Oreochromis niloticus: one gene and its partners. The protein of the gene in region 3 binds, or shares a complex with, the protein of the main gene of each other region. Links are inferred from orthologs where the notes say so. Each region holds a gene or a part of one and is shown on either strand. Other genes may lie near its edges. The genes, in order: mta1, mta3 and chd5.

Region 1 (7,978 bases), on a different chromosome or scaffold from region 3:
CTGTAACATGTCTGCACAAACTCTTTCCAACTAAAAACGGCTATCATTAGTTTATAAGGCTGTCTTTAATGCATGAAAGTGCAATCTCACTTGAAACTTGCAAAATATATTCGCTATGAACATACTGGACATTTATGGTTATTATAAATGCATATTGGTTCATGATGTCATTTTAGACAGGTTGTTTAATCTTGAATTTGTCATGTAGGATGCTAAGGTAGTATCACTGCCCATTATGTCCGTCTACTCTGGCACTGACCATGGCTTTATTATTATGTGCCCGTGGTTTTTCCTGTCATTTGTTTGATGATTTATGTGATATATATACATATATATATATGCATCTCAAGTTGCTGAGCAAGTGCTTGCCATTCCAGTCACTCATTTTTCTTCTTCTGTCTAACTGTTGTGGGTTTTTCCCCACATGGCACAGTCACCAAATGCCAGAGCCTCTCTGAAGATTGAGACATTTTTAGCAGTTCAACCAGCTGTTTCTCACAGAAAAAAAGGAAAAAGCAGTTGCACTTGTCTGGCAGCTTCTGGCATTTTGGCAAATGGTCCTGTGGTTAAGGGTGTACACTCAGTGACGGGATTGTCTTGCAAGGTGGGGTTCAGAATATGCAAGGGGATAACTTTTGGAGTGCCACATATTTCCATGTGTGAGACAGTCTCACAGTAACACCCTATTCGTAAGGGTCAGTATCAATAACCCACAACTGCAATATTCTTAATCCCTCTGGATTAGGGCAAAGCATTCTTGGGAGGCTGAGTGTTTCATTCAAAGCTGTGTGACAGATGACAGACTGAGTTATGTCTTCCGATAGAAACACCCACACTCAGAAAAGGCACAATAGCTAATATTGATTTAATGGCAACATTTGATAATATTATACTTCTGATCTACAGCTCTGTGTTGCAGCTTTAGATGCAAATAGCTGGCATCAACTCAAAAATCACAACTCACTTAAGTGTCGTTTTCGCCGTTAGCGATGGCCACATCGCGGTTCTTTTTTCTTCCCACAGCATGACTGCTTTTCAGGGAGCAAATGGGGACAATAGAAATAGCTGTGCGCATGATGTCCCCTGCTGGCAGACTATGTTTAGTGCAACTTGGAGCATTTTTTTTTCAGTGAGTATTGGAAAGATCAGGCATTGTTAATGAATGGTTTCAGAGCTCAATTTTATGTTTAGTATGAGCTAAAGATAATGGATAACATTATGTCTGAGTGTGCATGGTTTTAAGGCAGGCAAGCCTTTGTCTTAAGTGGTCATTTTTATAAAAAGCTAGACAATAGCTCCCCCTAATGGTGACTGAAAATAAATACAAACTCCTATTTTAAGTGTTTTCTTTTACTCGCAATAAGTCAGTGCTGTCTCCTCCCACAGCTCTCAGAGGACTGAGAACATGGCTTCATAGACTAAAAAATTAAAAAAAATGAATATTGTCTTTAATATCAACAGCAGTGGTGGTGAATGTGTTTTAGATGGATGTACAGAGCAGTCTCCATACAAGAATCTAGGCATCTATGATATTGTACAGTAGCTCACTGCATTATTATCGGTAATATTTATCCTGCTTTATATACTTATACATGTGTCTTATAGCTATAGCATGACTCACAGCAGAAGGTCACTGGCACTAACCTTCTGAGAAGGGAATATATTCAAGCATCCTCTAGAGAGCAGAGTTACAGACTGTTCCAAAGTATAGGTAATTCACTTTTAATAAGGAATACACCCATACAAAGTCAGGTGTGGAAGAGCGAGAGCCCTAACATTATTCCCTTTATTCCTGCACCACCCATAGTGTCTCTTGATCCAAGTATAGGTTCCAGAAAGAGAATTAAAAATATTTCAAATAGTTTCTGCAAGGATAGAGGTCTAATTGATTTCCTCTGTGTCTTTGACTCTCCCGTGATTCATCTGCTGCATGGAGGAGCAGAGGAAAGAAAGAGGATGAGGGAGGAAGAGAAGTAGGAAGAGAGAAAGAGAGGCCATCAGAGGTCTTCTTCCAAAGCGAAAGGAGGTTCTGCAGACGCTCTGCGTCCCGAGCCAATCCATCTCCACAGACTGAGATTCATCAGGATGAACACCTGCACTGCACTGCTCTGTACAGAGCTCTGCCTGCATGCTTGTCTTCCCGAATGCAGCAACATCTGGCAGAGGAGCAAGTGTATTAAAAAAAAGAACATCTGCACAGCATCAAGCAGCCAAGTAAACAAACAGCCCTAATGAAAGTGGTAACAGTTCCCAAATACAAGGGTGCATTGTCAACCACCTATTTTCCTTTAATTAAGAGCATATTAAGCACTGGCAATGTTTTCTTTTGAGCCTATTGGGGAAAATTACAACAGCTCAAAAGACTTCTCACGTGTGTCTCCATATGCTTAACAAATAACACATAATGTACAGGGATATGCTGGATTATGCTTTACACTTGAAATATTCCACAAGATAGCAATATAATATGCACAAAAATAAGCATTTATGCAGAAATGCACTGTTTGTTGCACACAGCAGTGCATACTTAAAAATAAATGTACAGTATAGTGATGGTCTTTCATCAGTGAGCATGCAACTATACTACAAATCAAAATACTGTGCAGTGTACCATGCACTGGCATTGAAAAACATCGCAAATTCAATGTAATTAAATTTGAATGACATAGTGTAGACGTAAATCCTTGTACACACCCATACATAAACACACACATGCACAAAAAACACACAAAGTGCACACTCCTTGTCTCTCGTTCCTTTTCATAAAAGAGCCCCGGGACATAATACAGAATCCCTCCAATGCAGCACAGTTCCTACTGCACACTTGAGTAGGAGTGCATACTATAAGCACACATGATTGGCCTATAACAGTCATGTGACTGCAGACTGTGGTCCCCTGTGTTAGGTCACAGTATTTGACGCTTCCATATGGTATAGATCAGACGTAGCCTTCACCACGCATTCCTCTGTCACAGAGGCCTTATGCTATCCACAAAAAAGTGAGCCAATCAAACAAATATCTGGTCATTCAGGATCACGCCTTGTAGATACCTTTCCATTAAAGACTGGTTGCCATGTAAAAAAAAAGCTATGCTCATGTGAGTTTTTTTAAGCATTCTGTGGTTTGATTGGCAATTTATTGTGCCATGTCCAAGGTGATATGGTACTATATGGTTTGTTTGTGGTAAGATTGAAAGAATAATATAAACACACTCACACACACACTACTGATAAGAACAGAAACACTGCTGCTAGTCCATGTTGCAGAACCAACATCCTATTTTAATGGCAGATTATTATCTTGTTCTCTTACCCACATGCACATAGAGTTGTACTGTGGACTAACCATGTCATTGTAATAAGCTTAATAATCCTAAATCTCCATAGTATTTCCAGAATCCAGAATATATCTCATATTATCATACCATAATTCATTGCATGTTTCTGCCTTCACTGCGTGCTGTGGTTATAATGTAGTCCTATACAGTGAGACAAAAATGAGCTATGCTATCTTATAAATAAACCACCATTGTAGTATACGATCCTAACTTTAATACACCTTATCAGATTGGAAGAATTTGCATATGTCTTCCTTTCTTTTGTTAATAAAATTAGGTATTTAAGGACAAATGTGTCTGACCCTGTGTCTTTCTAATGTACATGAATTAAATTTAACATACTTTGTTATTTTTACATTTAAGCCCATGTATCCCTCCCCTGCTGGTCCACTGACCTCTGACCCTCACTGACACTGTGAGCATTGAGGGATTTAGGATCACAGCACTGGTTTATTTTTAGGGCTGATGCATTTTTACACAGCTATACAGTTCCAGGTAAATGGCTTATTTTAAAACCAGCTCTGGAACCTGTCCACATTTCATGAGTCATCCAATGTGGGAGTTTATACAGTCCGAAGTAGGCCTGGTAGGCCCTGGAAGTTTTTTTTACATCGAGCTCTTACTTAAAGACTTGCTTTCCACCGTAAATTATCGCGATACGTGTCGATTAGTTGATTGGAGAGCTGTATAATTATCATAAATAAATAAAAACTTTAAGCTAGTATCCAAGTTTCATGTCTTAACAATAAAGACAGGTCTATTTTCAAGAAATTTACCCTTTCGTTTATAATCTAAATTGGCAAGTAAAAGATAAATGAACTACTTATGTAAGGTTAACCGAGTAGCAAAGTTAATAGGATAACGGTTCCTTTCGGACAGCGCGTGCTTGGTTGCTAATAGTGACGTAGGTACAGTTTAAAAAGGCAAATATTTATTTATTTATTTTTTAAATTTTATATTAAGTTAAAGAAAGTTGTTTAATTAAATCGTTAATTTGTTACAGTGCTTATTCCCATTTACCAGCGCCAAAGTTGTGGGTTAAAAGAAAAAAGGCGTACTGTCTCTTTAAGGCAGCCAGCCAGTCTCTTTCGTATTGATCAATCCACCATTTTCCAACACAGAGCGGCGGCAGTGCTAACACAGCTCCGGCAGCGCGAGAGAGAAGAGAGCCACCCCTCTACCTGGAGAGGAAGCCAGGGACCGGGGGCAGTCATGGCAGCGAACATGTACCGGGTTGGAGGTAAGGTGGAGGGGGCAGTATTTTAAGACCTTCCCGTAATTTTTTATGGCGGACTCGCCATGATTAACGTCGGTTCTTTTATGTATTTACAGCGCGTGGTCCGTCTTTTGCTTCCCTTCTTTTATTTCCCTAAAGCTAAAGAGCCTTGTGCTTCACAGATGATGATGATGGTGACTGTGAAGAGGAGGATGGTGATGAAGAGTAGTGGTTCTCTTTACAAAACTGCTCCCCGGATTTCCTCGCTTCTTTTTGCGTTTTTCTTCCAACTTAGCAAACAAGTACTTTAGTGCAACGATGCACTCTGAGTAACATGCATTGCGCTTCTATATATTTTGATGTAAAGTAGCGGATATATTCTAAAAGTTTTGCGTGCCATTCAGCTACAGCCCGGACTGTACGCTCACAGCCATAAGTAACATCGTAAGTGCTTTAAGTGTCCTGCAGAAACCTCTCAATGCTCACAAGACAGCAGCAAGGAGTGCATGCTCTTAAAATGCAGGGAAGGAGTGGGACAAAAAGTTAAAGACAACACTTTACATGCAGGAACCACTAAAATTCTCAAAGCATGCGTAGAGATCCGTTTTACACATTTATAACCAGTGTCTCTTCGCTTCTTTTGTGCAGGCAATTCAACTTAATACCTAATTAAAATTCCTGATTTCCCCTCCCACTCATTTTTTCCCTGCATATGTTCCCCTGATTTACATCCCGTAGGTACTGTGTGAAAATGAAAACACGAAAACCACTATAGCTGCACTGTATTTTAAATAGAATGTGCTGTTTTTTGAGGGGGTTTGCAGTGGAGATGCATAAAAGAATGGAGACCTTTTTAGATGTGTCTTCAAAAAACTTCAAATTTAGCTGTCAAAAAGTGTCACCACACAGAGGTTTGATATGAGGGCTGTAATGCAGATGGCAGTCGTAAGCATTTGCAGGACAGTTTCTTTATTCTTTCTTTATTCATCCACTTTTAGTGTCTTTTTGGACTCTGTGGCCATTTGTCAGTAGAAAAGGGAGGGAAAGCAAACTGATTATATTTTTAAGATTATTAAGAACTGATGTCTTTTGAAATATGACTGATGTGATTGCAGTTGGCTTGGAGCATGCATCAAAAATAGCCTATGCTTAAGTTAATGGCATTGTTATTTAGTCAAATGAAACAAAGCCTACCTGAGTGAGAGCTGGATTATGTTGGAGCAGGGTAAAAAGTTAACACTTTACCAGCCAGATGTTACTTAGTTTTGTATTTCTGTTTACGCTGTCAGTCTCTTACACTGACATACCAACCAGTTAAGCATGTATGTCTTGTTTGTAGCACACTAATTTGCAGTAAAAAAGGTTGTTTTATTTATTTCATATCTACCTTGCAGCTTTAAGGTTGTGTAGTTTGACTAATTTGTGAGATCTAATCAATCAGAATGGATTAAACATTTAATGCTCAGTCATCAAAGCAAAGTTGATTACTTTTTTGGAAAAGTGAAAAAGTAACAAGTAAGCTCAACCTTCATAATTTAATTTAAAACTACAAAACATAATTTAATAAGCATAGTCTTAATTTGTCCTACAATCACAGTTCTAGTTTAAAAAAATAAAATCACAGTTCTAGTTTGGCCTAAAAATAGGCCTCATAATTGACTGAAGCTTCTCCAGGCCAACACCAGAACAAAGCAGAAGCCCACACAAAGATGGCTGCTTCTTTGCAAGACAATGCAGGATCATCTTGGAAAAGCAATGAGTCCCCTTGAATGAGCAGTGGACAAAAGACAAAAGGTCTTGATGTCTTTGTTTTCACCATCCAGGCCACAAGCCACTCTTCCGGTGCCTGCAGCACTTCTTCCTAGTGCTTTCCCTCATGTGCAGGAAAGTGTTGGTGACTAAGTGTAGGCTATACGATAACTTTTAACCATTTCAGCGGTTGGAAGACGTTTTTATGAATGCAGTGAAATTTTAAAAAGCCTCTAAGACTTGCTGACGACTTGTTTTCCCCAAGTGAAAACAATTCTTTCCTGAGATGTTCTAAATTTGGTTGTCAAGACGTATAGAAAGTTTACTACAATTTTTGCTAGTGGGTACTCAGACCTACCATTGAAAAAGAGGACAGGCTTTTAAAACTGTGGAGCTTTGATTTTGTAGTTAATATTACAGGAAGTTGCTGGTTGGTGTTAAGCCAGGTTCAGTTTTTGGCCAGGTGATCCCCTGTTTGTTTCCTTTAAAATGAATTTCTACAACAGGCTTCTGAATGTGGACCTACTGTGATAGAGATGTTCCAAAATATAGTAAAAGATGCCCTGTTTGTATTTTCTCAAACTGTGTTGCTCTGGTCAAAATATATTTCTACCTAGAATGAGGATTGTGGGTTTTATTCCCCCATCACCTGCATCGGAACTGCAGTATGAGGCCATATCCGAGGATGTTATGATCACGAGGAATGATTACAGGATGCAAACACTTCTTCGGTTGTCATATGGGTAGGGGTGTTATTTAAAGAAATAATTGGAAAATACAGGATCCATCCTTTAAATAAGAACTTGCATTGGAATGTTTGGATTGTGACAGCTCTTGCACAGAGTTTGCAAAATGTGTTGCATTGTTTACTAACTTAAAAAGTGAGAAACTTGGGTGTTAATGCCCACATTTCCTTTGGATGGTGAGGATTTTCTACAGTAATTATTCAGAATGTGCCTGAAGGTGTTGCACTGTTTACTAATCTACAAACTGACTAAATTACAAACTTTGACAGTGCCCACACTTTGTTTGGCTCATGGCTGGTGTTAATCTCCCACGCTGGCAGTTGTGTCTCTTGCAGGGTCTGGTGGGTGTACTCGCTGAGTGGCGAGCTGAGGCTTCTTTGCTTCAATCCTGCCAAGTTCAGGACAACTAGTTGGACAGATGCATGACAACCTTTTTACATCCATTCAGCAAAGTATCCCCATCATTGTGTTTCTGAGGGGGGTCAAACTGCCCGAATGCCCATCACAATAACCGCTGTTTGCTAGCTTCCTAGTGTTGCCTATGGGCTTAAAGGTCTGGTTGTCTAAACTTCACTAGAATGAATGTTTGAGAAAAGAGTGGAAAAATTTGCTGATTTATCGCGTTTGTTAAGTGCAAGCTGCAGTGCCTGCTGCAGTATGATTGCAAGGTGTCATGGGAGTTGTGATCTAATTATTATAAGATCAAATCCATCTCAGCCTTAACACCACTGCTGACTTTATGCGAAACTGCTTTTTAAACATTTTTTATTCCTCGGTGTATTATAATATGTCAGAAAAGTGAGCGGGACGGGATATGAAAGACATATTTTTGTCTATTTCCTGCTTTTGCCAGGAATCCTAGCAGATACTAGCAGGCCAGGTAGATTGTATAGACTGTACAGAGGTGTATGCATCTGTGCATACAGCTG
Region 2 (7,978 bases), on a different chromosome or scaffold from region 3:
ATTGGAATCCTTTTGACCTCAGAGTATACAAGCCACTTGTAGTTGATTACTTAACCACTGTAGCTGATCCAAAACTCAAAACTATGTCCAGCCTGAGGGAGCATAACCTAACCTTATATAGAGAATGGCCAGCTCAGGCTTCCAGGAAAGTACAGGGCAAAATCACACAGACATAGAGATACACGTTTTCACCTTGCGCCTACATGCTTAAGTTAAAAAAAACAAAACTCTGACTTATGATGATTCCTGTAAGTGGCCTAATTTCTTTGTTTGCCTGCACTATTATATAATCCCCCCCAGTACACATTCTACTTTTATCTCATTGCCCACTCAAATATTATGAATCTATGATTACCTTATGTTTGCCCTTCATGTGCGCAATGCAGTGTAAACTAAGCAGGGCAGTAAACATATTCAGACTAACTGTGAAGAGGGTGGGAGAAATAAGAGGGGAAAGCTATGGATTGGTTATTGATTTGCTTCCTTGGGGGCCTGTCCGGCACAGGTGTAATGTGTCCGGCTAAGGTGTAATGTGCTGCCTGAAACTTGTCAGCGGGCATACTGACTTCAGGGGCATCAATTCAAGAAAGCACAAGAACAAATCCCCAGCAGCCAATGTAATACATGGATGTTTTAAATATCTTGCTTTGCTGTCATTCTTATTTTTATGTTATTATAGCAAACATCCTAGAAAACACTCAAAAAGCTGAGGTAGAAAACATCTCAATGCATCCACCTCCTGATTAATATTAGTGCGCAATGACTTTGGCCGTTGCCTTGAACGCATGCATGATCAAATGTTAAGAGGTATATTTATTTATTTATGCTACTTGTGATGACAGAATCAAATATTTGACACGATTCCATCTGTTCAGTTCACTTTTACGCAAGACAGTCTCAGTTGTAGGATATCCGCACACATTGCGCCTAAACATTTGGCAGCATTTTCATGAGGGGGCTTCTATTCCTTCAAGTTAACTGACCCTTGACTATCGCCTACCTGTGCTCCTCCACAGTAGTTCTCTTGGCTGTATCCCAATCCGGCAGGGTGCTAGCGCACAGCATAATCATAGAAACGATAACAAAGATCACGGACACTGAAGCCAAAAGCTGCGCTACAAGGGAAGAGTTGGGCTCCTCAAAAGCCTTGCGCATTTTCTCGAGCCACCTAGCGCGACATGTGAGCTCAGCCTCTTGCACTGACTCCCCTGGGCTCTGGGGCTCATCCTCGATGTCCCCCTCAGAGAGTGTGTCCAGTCCGATGTCGGACATCCTATCGTCCAGGCGTTTCTGGCAGCAGGAGTCCAAGTGCGCGCTCTCCAGTCCCCAGTAGAGCATCTCTGTGTAGAAGGACAGCTCACACACTCCGGGAACAAATCGGAGTTTGCCGGAGCGCACGTACAACATAATAAACACGAAAGCCTGAGCGTGGCGGTCGAAGAAAAACTCATTCCGGTCCCGATCGTAGTCATCGCAGAGTTCGAGGACCTCTTTCTCGGTTGCGCAGGCAATCAGGCGGCTGACGCGTCGAAGAGGGAAATCCCTGATCACCTCACGGGTGAAGGCGTACCGGGTTCCCCCGACGTTAAGCACGCAGATGCTCTTCCCGAACTTCATTTTGACAACTTAAATCCTCAAAGCCTAAGAGAACTCCTCTTCACAGTCCATTTTTCCTTCCATCGCAGGAGTTTGGGCACTTGGGGAACTCGTCTCCCCTGCCCCGGGGCGTGGTTCGCTTTGAGTGAAGGTGGCCCTGCGCTGAGGTCCGTGCCTGCTAAGTGGAAACTCTTCCCTCTGTCCCTGACTCTATTCTCCGTCTCCCTCTGTAGCCTGAAGAAGAGACTCATCCCCCCAGTCAGCTCCAGCCAATCCCATCAGTGATGTCACAAGCGCGCGCGCGCGGACGCACGCAGAGAAAAATCCATAAGCAACAGGAGTATAGAACGTAATATGTGATTTAAGTCCACAGTGGAGACTGCTTCTTCCTATAAAATACTGTTTAGATTCTTCTGGAAGCAGGTTGATGAGAAATTATCGTCAAACTTGATGAAAACCGGGGAGGAAAAGTCTTGTTTAAGAAAGCTTAATTACGTCTCACTGTAATATTCCCTGTTACACTGACAAAAAATAGATGTGAAGCTTGTGATTAATATGCCCGCACCATTATTAAAATGTAGACCATTTTATATCATTTAATTAAGCTAGATAGAGATACCTATATACACCAGCTCTGACTTGTGCAACAAAAGGTACATTATGTTAAGATAAGTATAATGGAAAAAAAAATAAATAGCAAGAGAAATATATGCACACACGTATAATTTATTAATGTTATTATTGTTAGTATTATCATTATATAAATAAAGCTTTTTTAGTATTATTTTTATTTTTTGTGCAGCTTTATTTATTTATCTATTTGTTTCGAACAAACATAAAGAACATAGTAATTATTTTAACTTAGCAATGCAAATATTCTATACCAGCTCATTTGATAGCAAAATATATATAAAAAAAATATCTACATCAATGTGTTAGCCGTGCGACAGACTGACGAACCAGGGTGTACCCTGCCTCTGCCTGCCTGATAAGGATAAGCGAAAGGGGATGGATGGATGGATGGATGGATGGATGGATGGATGTCTACATCAAGTATACAAAACATAATCATATACTGAATCTTCTTCTTCTTTCGGATATCGCCACAGCATTATCTGCCATCATCTCACTATGTCACTATTACACCAACCCTCTGCATATCTTTCTTCACTACAGCCATAAATCTTCTCTGAACTCTTTTTCTTTTACTACTGCCTGCCAGGTACATCTTTAACATCCTTTTCCTAATATATCACAGTATATCCCTCCAAGCTATCTAAGCCTTGCTTCTCTTACTTTAAAGTTATTAGAATTAGAAATGACGCCTTCTGTCCTCTCTGGTCAAGGTGGATCATGTAACGATGCATAAAAGAAAATAATAATAATGATAATAATAATGATAATAATAATAATAATAACACTGAGACTTCTTCATGTTCCTCTTAAGTTTTAGAGCCCTTTCTGATTTGTTAGGAATTTTAGAGAGACTCAGTTTCAATGATTAGATTAAAGTTTAAACTTTTGGCTTTACAGATATAAAAATTAAAAAAAAAAAAAAATGTACAAACTGCTTTCTTGGGTGTTTTCTGAGGTGGGCTGTAAGTGTCTGCGCGTGTGGGCCGCGTGTGGCTGTGCTGCGCGTGCGCGGGCCCCTCCAGCGTCAGCAGTGGTTTTTCGGGTTGATCCGACTTCTTTTGGCTGCCGTGAGTTAACTGTATCATAAAGGGTGCTGTGACTCGAAGGAGGAGGGGGGGGTTGAATTGCCACAATTCTCCCGATAGGTTACACATCCGGAGTTCCGACGATCTTAATTTGTCGCTCCTTTTCCCTTCAAAGAGAGTGACTTTTATTGTTTTTATTAATTTATTCCATTTCTCTTAGTTTATGGTTTGCACACTGGGAGGGCAGAAATGGCGGCCAACATGTACCGGGTCGGAGGTATGTATGTCAATGTGGATCTTTTTATCAAAGAGAAACCGTTACAGTTTTGCAGCTCCTGGGCGTTATTTTGTGGTATTTTGAGCCGTTTGCATTTAATGGTGGAGATGCGGATGTGGTACAGCAACGTGGACGCGTTAAGTTGAAGCAGGAAGGTGAGAGTTGGTGTATATTTGAGATTCAAAATGGGTCAGGCCTCGCGTCTGTCGTGGCCACAGCAGCTAGCAGACAGCTTGCTAAATGGTTAGCTGGCAATGTAAACATTTTTCACTTGTTTGCTGCTCTCCGGGTTTCTGAATTCTTAGACCACGGGATACAGGGGGCTTCTACACGGATAGACCTCACGACTAGACGTGTGTTTCAAAGGTTGTTAACATGCTACCACGGGCAGTCTGAGGCTGCCTTTGTATTTGCCACTCCTGGCATGCAGCCATTAGTACGAGACCTTATTTAGCTAACGTTAGCACCAGCGATGGCTTCACTGATTACCATTAATGCCGTCTCAGCGCTCGTTTGCTGCATTTAAGGATCGTATTTAACCGTCTCGGTAACATCAGGTGCTAAAGTGTTTTGCCAAAGTGACCACCTACAGTAACCACAAGTGCAATTAATTATCAAATAGGGATGCAGGCTGGCTGATTTGCTAGCTAGCTCGTTAGCAGTCTACTGGAATTCAACATCAAATTATTGTCTCCGCGCATGGCGTCGCTGTGTCTGCTTTTACACCTTTATTCACGCATACTTGAGCTTTAAATCCATACACAGACGGCCACGTAGCCTAATTGCATTAATGCTTGACATGCCACACAAACTATAGGCGTCTAATGACATGTCTTGCAACACTTTATAACCGGTATTTTCGAGGTGCATCAGTTTATTGTCCCCTCACGTCACCTTTAGTGCAACTTCTCCTGCCGCTTTCAGGTGCTCATTGTAAACTCCATGAACTTGTAGGTAGGACACACAAACTTCCAGGTGCATTCAAGTACAGTTTTCTCCCGCGATGGAACAAGTCTTGTTTTGCTGCTACATTGCAAACAAAATAGATGGGATATGTAGTTTATTAATTTATTTTCTTAAAAATTGATATATTTATTTTATAACAGCATTGCAAGACTGAGGTGCAGCACATTCCCGTCCCAGAGGCTAAGGGCTGTCATACACATTAGCATGATGATACATAGACTCTAATGACATGCATGAAGTCATATATATTTTGACAACCCTGACAAATATGCTGCTGCACCGTTTAAAAGTCTGGAACATGTGAATTGAAATATTACAGACTCTGTGTGAATGCAGCATTTGCCATGGACTGAAGTTGTGCAAAGTTGGTGGGCAAGCTTCTAATTTAAAAAAAAAAAAAATAGGGATATTGTTACATTTATTTTATTTGTCCCATTTGTTGGAACCTTGCAGTGTCGAGAAGACGCATAAGCTGGAGGAGAGACAGGGGGATTCAAACCAGTGCTTCTGCATTAGCCTTACGGCATATAGGTCATCTGCTCAAACCCAGAAAGCTATACTGGCATCTGGTGATGTTATTTATATGCATGGGGAATCTTTCTTTTAGAAAATGCTATATTGAAGTTTTTATTGTCTTTAATTTATTTTTTCATACAAACTGAAACAGTATGGTAACATATGGCTACAGTTTGAAAGACTATAATAATTTTGCACTTTTATTCGTCTATAACTTGGTTGTTGTTGACTAGAGATTTTTCCTTTTAACTTTTCTTGTGCAACACTTTCTGAAAGTCACAAGTTTCCACATTTATTGATTAAAGGATATGCATATCTATTGATTTGACCTACTGTAGTGCCAATGTATTAGTTCATGCGGTGTATATATTTAAATATAAGATGTGCGTGTTTCCTGTTGCAGATTACGTATTCTTTGAGAACTCCTCCAGTAACCCTTACCTGATCCGTCGGATAGAAGAACTCAATAAGGTACTGATGTGTGCGTTTTTCATTTTCATGTGTGGTTATGTTAGAGAATTCCTTGAATTCCTCTCTGCTCCTGTCCCCACCCCATCGCTTTCCCATTGTTTGTGTGGATTTTGTGACGTTGTTTGTAATATGGCTTGAAAAGACAGGTGTTCCCTGATCTACCAACTGTCATTAGTATGACTTGACACACCTGTGTGTGTGTGTGTGTGTGTGTGGGTGGAGTGATTATTATCAACATTTCACAAGCTCATGTAGCTTTGGGCTAAAGATGCAGATTTATTTTAATTATAAGCTGATACCAACCTTCAACAGCAGTGTTGTTGGTCTCTCTTTTTTTCTCTCAGCATTTTACCGTAATTCCCATTTTATTTTGTTCGAAATCCTTCACAAGCATCGTTAATAGGTGTGTAAAAGCTTTTCCTGTGTCATGCTTGCACTGAGATATTCTGATAAATGCAGGTCATTATCAGATTGTGTGGGTGGAATAATGCCAGATCACATCATTATCATCCTGAAAGAGCGTACTGAGGCTCAATGTTATAATCTAAAGACAGGAGACATCGTAATTATCATAAATGATGAAGTAACAGGAAGTCCCTGCAGCATGATACCATTTAATAAAGCTGTGCTTCTGCAAATACAAGCTGTATGAAGCTCATCATGTTGGTAAAGGTGAAATGGAGTGCTTGATCAAGCACGATGGACATTTTTGTGGCTTTTGCTAGTGCATCAATATGCATGTCGTCGTTCCTGTTATTTTCTCCAGATCCCTTTTTATTTAGATACATTTGCTTTTGCGCACAAACTTGGAAGCAGGTAGGTGGGGAGTATAAGTTGTTTCTTTTTCTTCTTCTTCAAACCTTTTACCCCCACATCTAGTCATCAGTCACGACATTTAATACTGGCTGAGTTTGAGCACAGCTTGATAGGTACACAAAGGAGCCAGGTCTCTTGGGAAATTACAGGGTTGTACAGGTACGTGTTGCCACTTATTTGAGTCAACCTGGATGTCTCTCCTCCTCTCTTTTAGACTGCCAGTGGGAACGTGGAGGCCAAGGTAGTTTGTTTCTACAGAAGGAGAGACATCTCTCACAGCCTCATCCAGCTCGCAGATAAACATGCAAGTGAGTAGCAGTTGTGACGCATCATATGTGAATAATTCCCTTCAAACATCTGTGTAAAACAGTAGAGTTTCTTTAGATTGTTTTTGCATTAATGCATATTAAACTATTGTATTTAGAGGGTTCATTTTGTGTTCTAATTCATCATCTGGTTCTATGTGGAGTTTGCATATTCTCTACGGGTACTCCGGCTTCCTTCCACAGCCCAAAGGCATGCAATTAGTGGGGTTAGGCTAATTTGTGAGTCTAAACTGCCTGTATGTCAAAATGTAAGTGTAAGTGTAAGTGTAAATGTCTTGATGGATGCTCAGTCATCCAGGTAAGGAAAACCAAAAAAGTTGGAGACTGAAGAAGTCACTTGGATTAGTGACGAAACATTTCTCCCACTGAAAATGCTACGTTCAGATGAACAGAATAAACCTTTTGGGTAAGTGTGAATGGTTTCTGTCTCTCTGTGTTGGCCCGGTGACAGACTGGCGACCTGTCCTGGGTGTACCTCACCTTTTGCTTTATGGCAGTGGGGATGGCTCCAGCTCAACTGTGACCATCAACTAAAAAAGCAGAAGAAAATGGATGGATGGGTTCTTTCTGTTTTGCCAAACTTAGAGTGACTGTCTTAGCTGGTTGGACAAATCAAGCAGTTTTGAATGTGTCACCTGTCTATAGGAATTAAAAATTGTATTTTTTCCTTTAAAGAGAGTTGTGATACTTTAGACTAGTCAGTTATCTGGCAGAAGTGTAAACAGTGGTGAAGATTAATCCATCCATACATCCATCCATTTTCTTTCACTTATACAGTTTAAGATCACAAGTGGCTGGAGCTGATTCCAGCTGTCATAGGCTGAGAGGCAGACCCTGGACTGGATTGGTCATCAGTCTGTCACAGGGCTGACACAGAGAGACAGGAAACCATTCACACTTGGGGCCAGTTTAGTATTACCAATCAACCCAGCCCACGCATGGTTTTAGATGGTGGGAGGAGGCTGGAGTACTGGGAAAGGACAAGAAAGCACCACAGAAAAGGGCCTGAGTCTTGATTTGAACCCAGAACCTTCTTGTTTTGAGGAGTCATTGCTAATCACTGAGATGGCAAATTCTTTAATTTCGACATGACAGATGATATCAGGATGACTTAATAATTATCAAAATTTTTGAAAGACTTTAAACGAGAGACGTGTAATTAAGCTTTCGGTCATTCAGAATGACATCGCCATTGGTGACTCCTCTTGGCAACTTTGTAAATTGCGCATTTACCTAAAAATAAGATGCTTTTAATGCCAGAGAGGGAGAAGTTGAAACTTAAATTTGTACTCCAGCGCAACTTGGGAGGATTCATGTTTGTATTTCACAGTAATTTCTCAATTGCTTGT
Region 3 (7,978 bases):
TAAGAAGCCGGGTGGGAAGAAGAAGAAGCAGATCCTGAAGTTCACCCTGGACTGCACCCACCCTGTTGAGGATGGCATCATGGATGCTGCCAACTTCGTGAGTAGATCACCTCTGACAGAAATGACATCTTGTCTGGTAATCAGTGCAGCAGCTGTCAGACACAAATGCTCTGTGTCAGACACTACTGTCAAATAAGGGGCATCAATCAAAGCCCTGTATTAAGGTTCCAGTCAGTTGATATTAAAAGAAAAGAGAGAGGGAAAAAAAGACGGATGTCAGTCATATGTTCATAAGAAACTGATCTGTACGTTCATAAAGAGGCCTTCATTTCTGGTGCTTGCTGTGTGTGACTTGCTGTGTCCTCTGCACATGCAGGAGCAGTTCCTGCAGGAGCGCATCAAGGTGAACGGCAAAGCTGGAAATCTTGGTGGTGGTGTGGTGTCCATTGAGAGGAGCAAGAGTAAAATTGCTGTGAACTCTGAAGTTCCCTTCTCAAAGAGGTAAATAAAAGAAAAACAGTGCAACTATGTCATATTGTATTATTTGACTGGTCATAGTCATTTGCCATTATACCAGCAACCCTCAGTAAATGCTTTGCACAGTGCTTGCTACAAGGCCTAAAAAGACAAATGTTAAGTTTAAAGAAAATCTCTGTTGTTTGTGTGGAATAGAGAAGTATGCAGAATCCTGTTGAATATAATTTTGAGGGAAATGAAACGCATTTGACATTTCAGCCACAGTAATATTGTAATAGACTTAATGAGCAAACATGAGAAGACTCCAAACAAATATGGCTGTGTTTGGTTGTCACTTACACAGTGGTTGCAAAATTTTACTGATACTCAGCCTGAATGTGTCTTCTGACTGATCATGCTGTCTTTGTGGTTTCCCACTTATTTGAGAGCTTGTGATCTGATGTTTTTTCCAGTTGCAGCGCAAGTACATTTATCCAGTATTACATGAGCTGGTTTCACACAAGTGTGGCAATAAATACTCTGGACAGATACACCACTAGAGAGTATCTACCTTATGTGAGAAGCCAAGAAATCTCATAAAAATGCTTAAAAAACAAAAGATTTTTAGGGATCAGATAAGTTCATCATTGCTTGCCACATCGTGCAACAAGGTCCTGCTGCATCCTAATATGGGCATAACATCAAGTTTGATGTGTGTAGACATAACAATAAAAACTGACTGAATTGTAGGCTATGACACACAACTATGGTCTCTTCCTATGGTGTGTCATCTTAATGTGTACTCATGCTGCCCCAACTGCACAGTATTTTCTTCTATGCTTGAATTCATTACCTTTTTCACAAATTTTACTGCCACCTTTTTCTTTTGTGTGTGAAATTGTCATTGATCAGTGCCTAATTTCGTGTTGCATTCCTGTTGGTTGATTTAACAAAAAAAGAGGTAGGTTGTAGCATAAATTTTGTAAGGTCAGTACACACTAAGGTGTCGTTGTGTGTCAGGTACAGAAAGCAAAGTAGAATATTTATTTTTTGACCATAATGTGTACATTCTGTGTCTACAGTACCTACAGTACTAAGAAAATACAAATACCGTGTATTTAGAATGTTGGTATTGAAAGGTACCATAAGTATCGATTCTGGTGACATGTGCCTACTGTGGAGGTCTCGTCCTCTGGCAGTCAGTTCTGAAGAAACATGCCTGCTGCTTAAAGGTTCTTCTGTGAACACATGAAACAGTCTAAACACAATGAGTTTCAGAATTATTGTATTAATTGTGGATTTGTCTGAAGTTTTGTGAATATTTTAAAAAACCAAAACTAATATCTAAAAGTGAGATCTATTTGAATTTCGATTCAGATTTATTTATATAGCGCCAAATTACAACAACAGTTGCCTCAAGCACCTTCGAAACACAGATGTTATTGTGAAGTGTAGTGCTTAATGTAACTGATTAGAGTGGCACAGCCAAAATGGTTATCTTGTTATCTCGTTATATATATTTATTAGGCTGTAGCCACCACTTAATAATGATTCTAATGTTCTATTTGGACAATAAACAGTATTAACTATATAATAACCTAGATATAATAATGGTATATGTATTATACATCTGATCATTAAAGTACTTGAACTCCTTTTTAAAATTGGCTGTAGCAAAGTTGCAAAACATACATATGCCCAGCTAATCCACATGTTTTAAATGTTGGGTTATGTGGGCCTGTGTGCATTTCTGGAACTTTCCCTAACAACCTTTATGTCCACTTCATACTGTAATTGTTCAGTAAATTTTAAACACCACCACCAGAGGGGGACTGTGGCACTCTCAGTCTTAAATGAAGCATTTGATATAACCAGTGGAGATCTCCTAGGTTAGAGCTGATGCTAAAGCAAATTCATTTTGTGATCCCCACTTTTCTGCTGGTCACGTTTATGGCAAAAACCACACAGAGCTGTTTTTTGTGCATCTGGGCTACTGAGAGTTTTAACTGTTGTACGTCGTGTTTAACGATTTCTACACCTTAATATAAATCTAGAAAAACAGCAGGATTTTGCTGCTTTTCGGTACATAAATTGTGAAATTTAAGGGCAGATTGACTCACACTCTTTCTGCTCTCTGCTTCCATTTTCAGGTACTTGAAGTATCTTACCAAGAAGTATCTGAAAAAGAACAACCTCAGGGACTGGCTGCGGGTGGTAGCTAACACCAAGGAGAGCTATGAGCTGCGCTACTTCCAGATCAACCAGGATGAGGAGGAAGAGGACGAAGATTAAACCTTACGCCACTCTTAATAAAATACTTCGAGAGAAAACCCTTGATGGTCTTGTGTTTTATTTGGAAACATTTGGTTTGATTATGTTATCTGGATCCCACACAGACGATAAAAACAGAGATATGAACATGTGACTGTACACTCTGATTTCATTTAGCGTTTTTCAAAAATAATCCTCGATATTTAGATGCATGATGACAACTTTAATTGCATATAAATCTGTAATTTTTAGATTTAGGAATGTTTTCTGGTTCTTTATTCTGATGTGGGATGGTGTTTTTTTTTTTTGTCATCTGGTTATAAAAAGGTTTATTTGCATTGTGTGATTGCCCCCCATCCCCCCCTAAAGTCCTGCAGCATGTGGGATGAGCTGGGACTCTCAGCCTTTCATTTGTATATTTTGATAAAAGATAAAGTGACGCTGAAGCTGATACTTCCTCTGCTCAGCTCTCTGTGGGGCATCCTGTGATACAGCTGTGGTAACCTTGACAACAGTTAGACCACTGGCAGTCAGGACTCCTCACAGCTTGCAGTCATCAGCCTGCACTTGTGTGTGTTTTGTCAGGACAGTGTGGACGCTTGCAAGATGAAATCGAGTCAGGTGGTTGTTAGTTGGGGGTTTTATGCCTTAATTGACGTCTAAATCAACCAAAGCGTCCGTATACACAAACGGTTTGGCTTCAAAATAGAAAGCAGTGCTGTGTTTCCACCTGCAGACACACTTTGAAGTGGAGCTTGTGAGTGAATAGAGCAGCAGCTGTGCGAGAAAGTGGGAGAAGTTTCTGTCTCAATTCTCCGGACTTCCAAAAGGAAATGGACAGGCGCGGGGAGTGCATCCGTCTATTAGCAGCACACGGCGCACGATGTGCATTTTTTTGCACGCTACTAGTTGAAGTGGTAACTAGGAGAGTATGACTAACTAGTTGTGGGTGAAATTATGGGATGCATCGTCATGGCAACAGACCAGACGTCACAATCTGGGCATGTGTGTTCCATTTTTGTCTTTCTTATTTTTCAGACTGGAAGACCTGGATAGAGATCATTGGAAAATATATATATTTTTTAAAAAATTATTTTTTTTATTTTACTCTTGGAGAGAAAGCCCCATGTTCGTTGCACAGAAATAAAAAAAAAATCTTACATTTTTCACAGCGACGAATACTATTCTTTTTGGGTGAAGAAAGAGACTGTGCTGCGGCGTCTGGAGGGTTAACTTTCAGTATTCCCAGCCTAAAAGGGGTTTGGGGGCTATGAGATAAAGATGCCGGGGTCGCTGAGCAATGAAGACGAGGGACAAGACGACATGGATTTTGAAGACGATATACCAGGTGAGGGAAAGGGGAGAGGCGGGGTGTCCTTCAGATAATTTTGCGCCGCTACGCCTTGAATGCGGGGAAAAGGGCTTGTCCTGCGTTCCTGAGACCGGAGAGGAGGGGTGGGGTGCAATAAGCAGAGTCATGCTATTATTTTTTTGGACGACCTACAGTCTTAAAGGTGGCAAAGGGTTGTAGGTTTTTTTTTTAATCTCTCCCCCCACAGCTGTCCTCACATTCATCCTGATTTGGGGGCACGATGGAAACGCTGCTGCATGGTTTCTGTGGGCTGCCTTTTCTTTCACAGGCTGCATGCGTGTACAAGTGAATGGCTTTGAGTCCAAACACAAGTTTTGTTCAGAGAGCTGTTAAAAAAAACCCGTACTTTGCTCGTTTCCGTGTCAGTGTGTGCATTGGCGATTTTCTGTCCCTTTTTAGCTCGTGGATGTGCTCTTTTGTGGAAAAAAAGAAGGGGGGCTCCGGTGACAATGTGCGTGTTCATTTTGTGGATGATGCGCTGCCGTTAGCGCTCGTGATTAGGAAGCTGTTTCAACTTTAATTCTTTTTTCTCCCACTGCATGGCCGCAGAGGTGTGAAAGCCACGTGTGGGCTACAGTAAACAGAGCTTATCAAGTGTGCTCCTTTGCCTTGCGCGCTGATGACACCGGTTAGGTCACCGGCAGCCCTTCAGCTCTGGGTCGTGCGCGAACTGGAATTAACTCTAACCCACATTCTCTGCGTGCTGCTAATTCATTTCACATGGCAACTTCATACAAGAGAACCTGTGCAATAACATTCTCCAGGCTGAAAAATGAACATGTCATCAACTCTGGCAGTGAACCAGCTTTCAGTGCTCTTACAGTTTCCTCCCTTTTTTTTAAAAAAATGGTCAAGATCAAATCAAGTCACAGGGGGTTTTAAGATTCCCTAATTAATGACCATGCACAAGAAGATACTTGCCAAATTTTGGCCATTTTGTTTTCTTTTGGCTGGTAAGTTTGTTAGGTTTTCTGGCAGGTGTCAATCCTAGGGCACAGGGGAATCCCAGTCTTAGTTTTTTTGGCAGGCATGGCTGTGCTTACTTGTGACATTTACTCAAATTGCTAACTGTGTGGTCCATAATGTACACCAAGGAGCAGGCATCAGAATCTTCATCTGCGTAACACAAACCCAGTTCTGAACTGCTAATGATTGGTTTCTTGATCTAGTGATGCAGCAGCTCAGGTGATGAAGTGCCCTCTTGTTGCAGCCTGCTGAGCTGAATCCAGACATAAGATTGTCCCGTGCAGCCATTGAAGTTCCTTTTATTTTAAAGTTCTTATAGCTTGCTCCAAACATCAGATGGTTGATGTCAAGGGCAAGATTTAAAAGATCCTGCTTTGCCCTCTGCTTCACTTTCACATTACCATGTGGAAAATGTTTGTGGTTGTAAAATACACTCCAAAGCCAAAAACAAAAGTCAGAAAGGTCGGAAAGTAAGAGCCCTGCTTTGGATCAGAGAGCTAGTTTCAGTGAAGTCAAATCACCCCCCAAAAATGAGGTCAGCTGACTCCCTCAATATACTGAATGACCAGGTTTTTCCATCAGTGGTTTGTGTTCTTCCCTGATAACAAAGACATTTTCCTGGATGACAGTACCAGGATTCATTGGGTTAAAACTGAAAGAGCGATTCAATGAGCACGAGACATCATTTTCCAACAGGGACTGGCCACCGCAGAGTACAGACTTTAACCCCTCTAAGAATCTTTGGGATTTGCTAGAGAAGATTTTAGCAGACTGTCAAGCCCATCGCCAATACAAGGCATGAAAGTAACACAGCTCTAGGTGGAAATAGGTGTTGTGACATTGCATAAGCTTATTGAAATGATGCCTTGATGAATGCTGGCCATGATCAAAGCTCAAGGTGCTCAAATGAAATATGTGAGTGTGTGACTGCTTTTTATTGGCCGGTCAGTGTAGATTCAGCATGAAATGAAGCTTCTAAAATCCAATGCAATGTTTTCTCCAGCAGCAGGCCCTCCTCGTCTTAAGTGTTGCTCAAATAATGCAGTGATGCGGAATATAGAATACATGTGAAAGAAGGCACAAGACGTTTTATTTATTAAATATCTTGCTGGTGTGTCTGTTGCATTGGTATTAGGTATTGCTCGTTACAGAGTGACGAAAAGCCATTTACTGGGACACTACTTCGGTGGTTTAATTGTGAGCAGTTGTCACAGTACTGAGTTGCCAAATTACAATCCTTGCTCATTTCGCATGTGTGTTATAAAGCTCTTGAACATCTGAGGCTTTGAAGTGCTGTCACAAAAAATGAGGTAGAATGCATACAATTACTAAATTCAAGGGTACCACTGGTTACCATTTCTTAGACAGAAAAAGGTCATTCATGCCACAATATTCAAAAATTACCTCTGCGTTTAACACGAGGTCTGAGTATTGTGATATCTGCCTTATTTGAGGAAATCCTTTGCATTAAACACACATTTCTTTTGTTTATATACATATTTTTTGACAAGGGTAATTTGTACTTGCTAGTTTTTCTGTGCGTTTATGTGCATCTTAGCAGTAAGCAAGTGAAAAACGAGGCAGACAAAGAGAACGGAGAGTCAGAGGGGGAGTTAGAGCAACATCTGTGACTGCCATCCATATTTAGAGGCAGAATACAGGCACTGATGTGTGTCCTCAGTAACGCATTAGTTTGTTAAACATGTATAAGAAAAGAAGGCTGCAGCTGAATATGGCAGGTGAGTGAATATATATCAGTATTAATTAAGTCTAAAAAATGAAGAATGTGTTTAAATTGCTTAAATATGCTTTGATGGGATTTTTGTAGTCATGTGTTTCTGGCTTCAAAAAAATTTCGTGTAATATAATAAATACCAGTGTGATCCTCTGTGATGACGCACAATGTACCTACTTGAGGGTAAATCTAGTGAAACTCCGACACAGTGGTCCATATTGGTTTTGTCATCATGAAATTGTTCACAAAAGGGAGTCATTCTTCCTAGTCTGAAAATATGACTGTTTTATTGGAATAACTTTCCTTTAATTTGTCATATCACTCACTCATCACAACAAAATGCTGCGGATCAATTGTTATGCTGCTGATATACGAAGCACTTTCCAGACAGTTTATGACCTCATCAGCAGGCTTCAAAGTGATAGACAAGGTCAGAAATCCAGGTCAGAGTTTTCTACCATGAAGACACTTCAGTGCAATTAAAACACAACAGTGTGGGAGCACATTGTGTGTGGACTTCAGACCCCAAAATGCTATCCTATCACAGTCTTTATTTGTTGTGCCATGTAGCGTCCTAAGTCCCTTTGTTTCACTCTGGGCACTTACACTGTCACAGATTGTTCCATTGTGTTTTCTGTTTTAATTGCTTTGTTCTTCCATAAAATTGAAAGATTATCATGGGCTTTTGTGTGCCTACAAATGTTATCCCCAGTTGGAAAAGGGGCTATTTTTGGATCCCTCACTGTGAAAGTTGACACAGTTTTTTTTCTTAATGCGTGTGTATGTAGCCTAAGCATAAAAAAACATGCTTTTAAATATGTTTTTGCAAATGAGTGGTACATCATTTCTTATCTGTTTCCTATCTGTTTATATGGGATGTGCTATGACCTTAGAATAGATATACTACAATTTAATGATGCTATTTGGGCTTTATCCTTCCATCACTTAGATGATAACATTTTCTAATAATAGCCTACGGATGCTTTTGTCTGAAGGCATTTAAAGCCCGAGCCATAAGTACCTAATCGATGAAGAAAGGAAACCCTTTGGCCTCGTCTTCCCTGCATTGTGGGAAGCAATGCTGGGCAGCATTAAGTGGGTATTTCCACACAGGGGCCAACAGAGAAATGACTAATGTGCTTTCCAGTAAACTCTATCTTCCTCACTTGGGACTCGTT

Evidence for each region.
Region 1: chd5 (region 3) and mta1 share a complex: the UniProt entries of both Homo sapiens proteins name them as parts of the nucleosome remodeling and deacetylase (NuRD) repressor complex. The link is inferred for Oreochromis niloticus from reciprocal best matches to the Homo sapiens genes CHD5 and MTA1.
Region 2: chd5 (region 3) and mta3 share a complex: the UniProt entries of both Homo sapiens proteins name them as parts of the nucleosome remodeling and deacetylase (NuRD) repressor complex. The link is inferred for Oreochromis niloticus from reciprocal best matches to the Homo sapiens genes CHD5 and MTA3.

What each region holds. Positions count from the first base shown.
Region 1 is NC_031983.2:19,121,872-19,129,849, reverse strand, and holds the start of mta1 (metastasis-associated protein MTA1), read left to right. Parts: upstream 1-3,814; 5' UTR 3,815-3,833; intron 3,834-4,459; 5' UTR 4,460-4,550; coding exon 4,551-4,578; intron 4,579-7,978. UniProt on the Homo sapiens protein: Transcriptional coregulator which can act as both a transcriptional corepressor and coactivator. Acts as a component of the histone deacetylase NuRD complex which participates in the remodeling of chromatin.
Region 2 is NC_031973.2:10,588,267-10,596,244, reverse strand, and holds the start of mta3 (metastasis-associated protein MTA3), read left to right. Parts: upstream 1-3,181; 5' UTR 3,182-3,299; intron 3,300-3,305; exon of another isoform or gene 3,306-3,477; 5' UTR 3,478-3,506; coding exon 3,507-3,534; intron 3,535-5,419; coding exon 5,420-5,487; intron 5,488-6,517; coding exon 6,518-6,611; intron 6,612-7,978. Other genes in the region: kcng3 (potassium voltage-gated channel subfamily G member 3), read right to left, coding at 1,001-1,617. UniProt on the Homo sapiens protein: Acts as a component of the histone deacetylase NuRD complex which participates in the remodeling of chromatin.
Region 3 is NC_031970.2:11,661,813-11,669,790, reverse strand, and holds the start of chd5 (chromodomain-helicase-DNA-binding protein 5), read left to right. Parts: upstream 1-3,355; 5' UTR 3,356-4,008; coding exon 4,009-4,075; intron 4,076-7,978. Other genes in the region: rpl22 (large ribosomal subunit protein eL22), read left to right, coding at 1-97, 377-501, 2,607-2,748. UniProt on the Homo sapiens protein: ATP-dependent chromatin-remodeling factor that binds DNA through histones and regulates gene transcription. May specifically recognize and bind trimethylated 'Lys-27' (H3K27me3) and non-methylated 'Lys-4' of histone H3.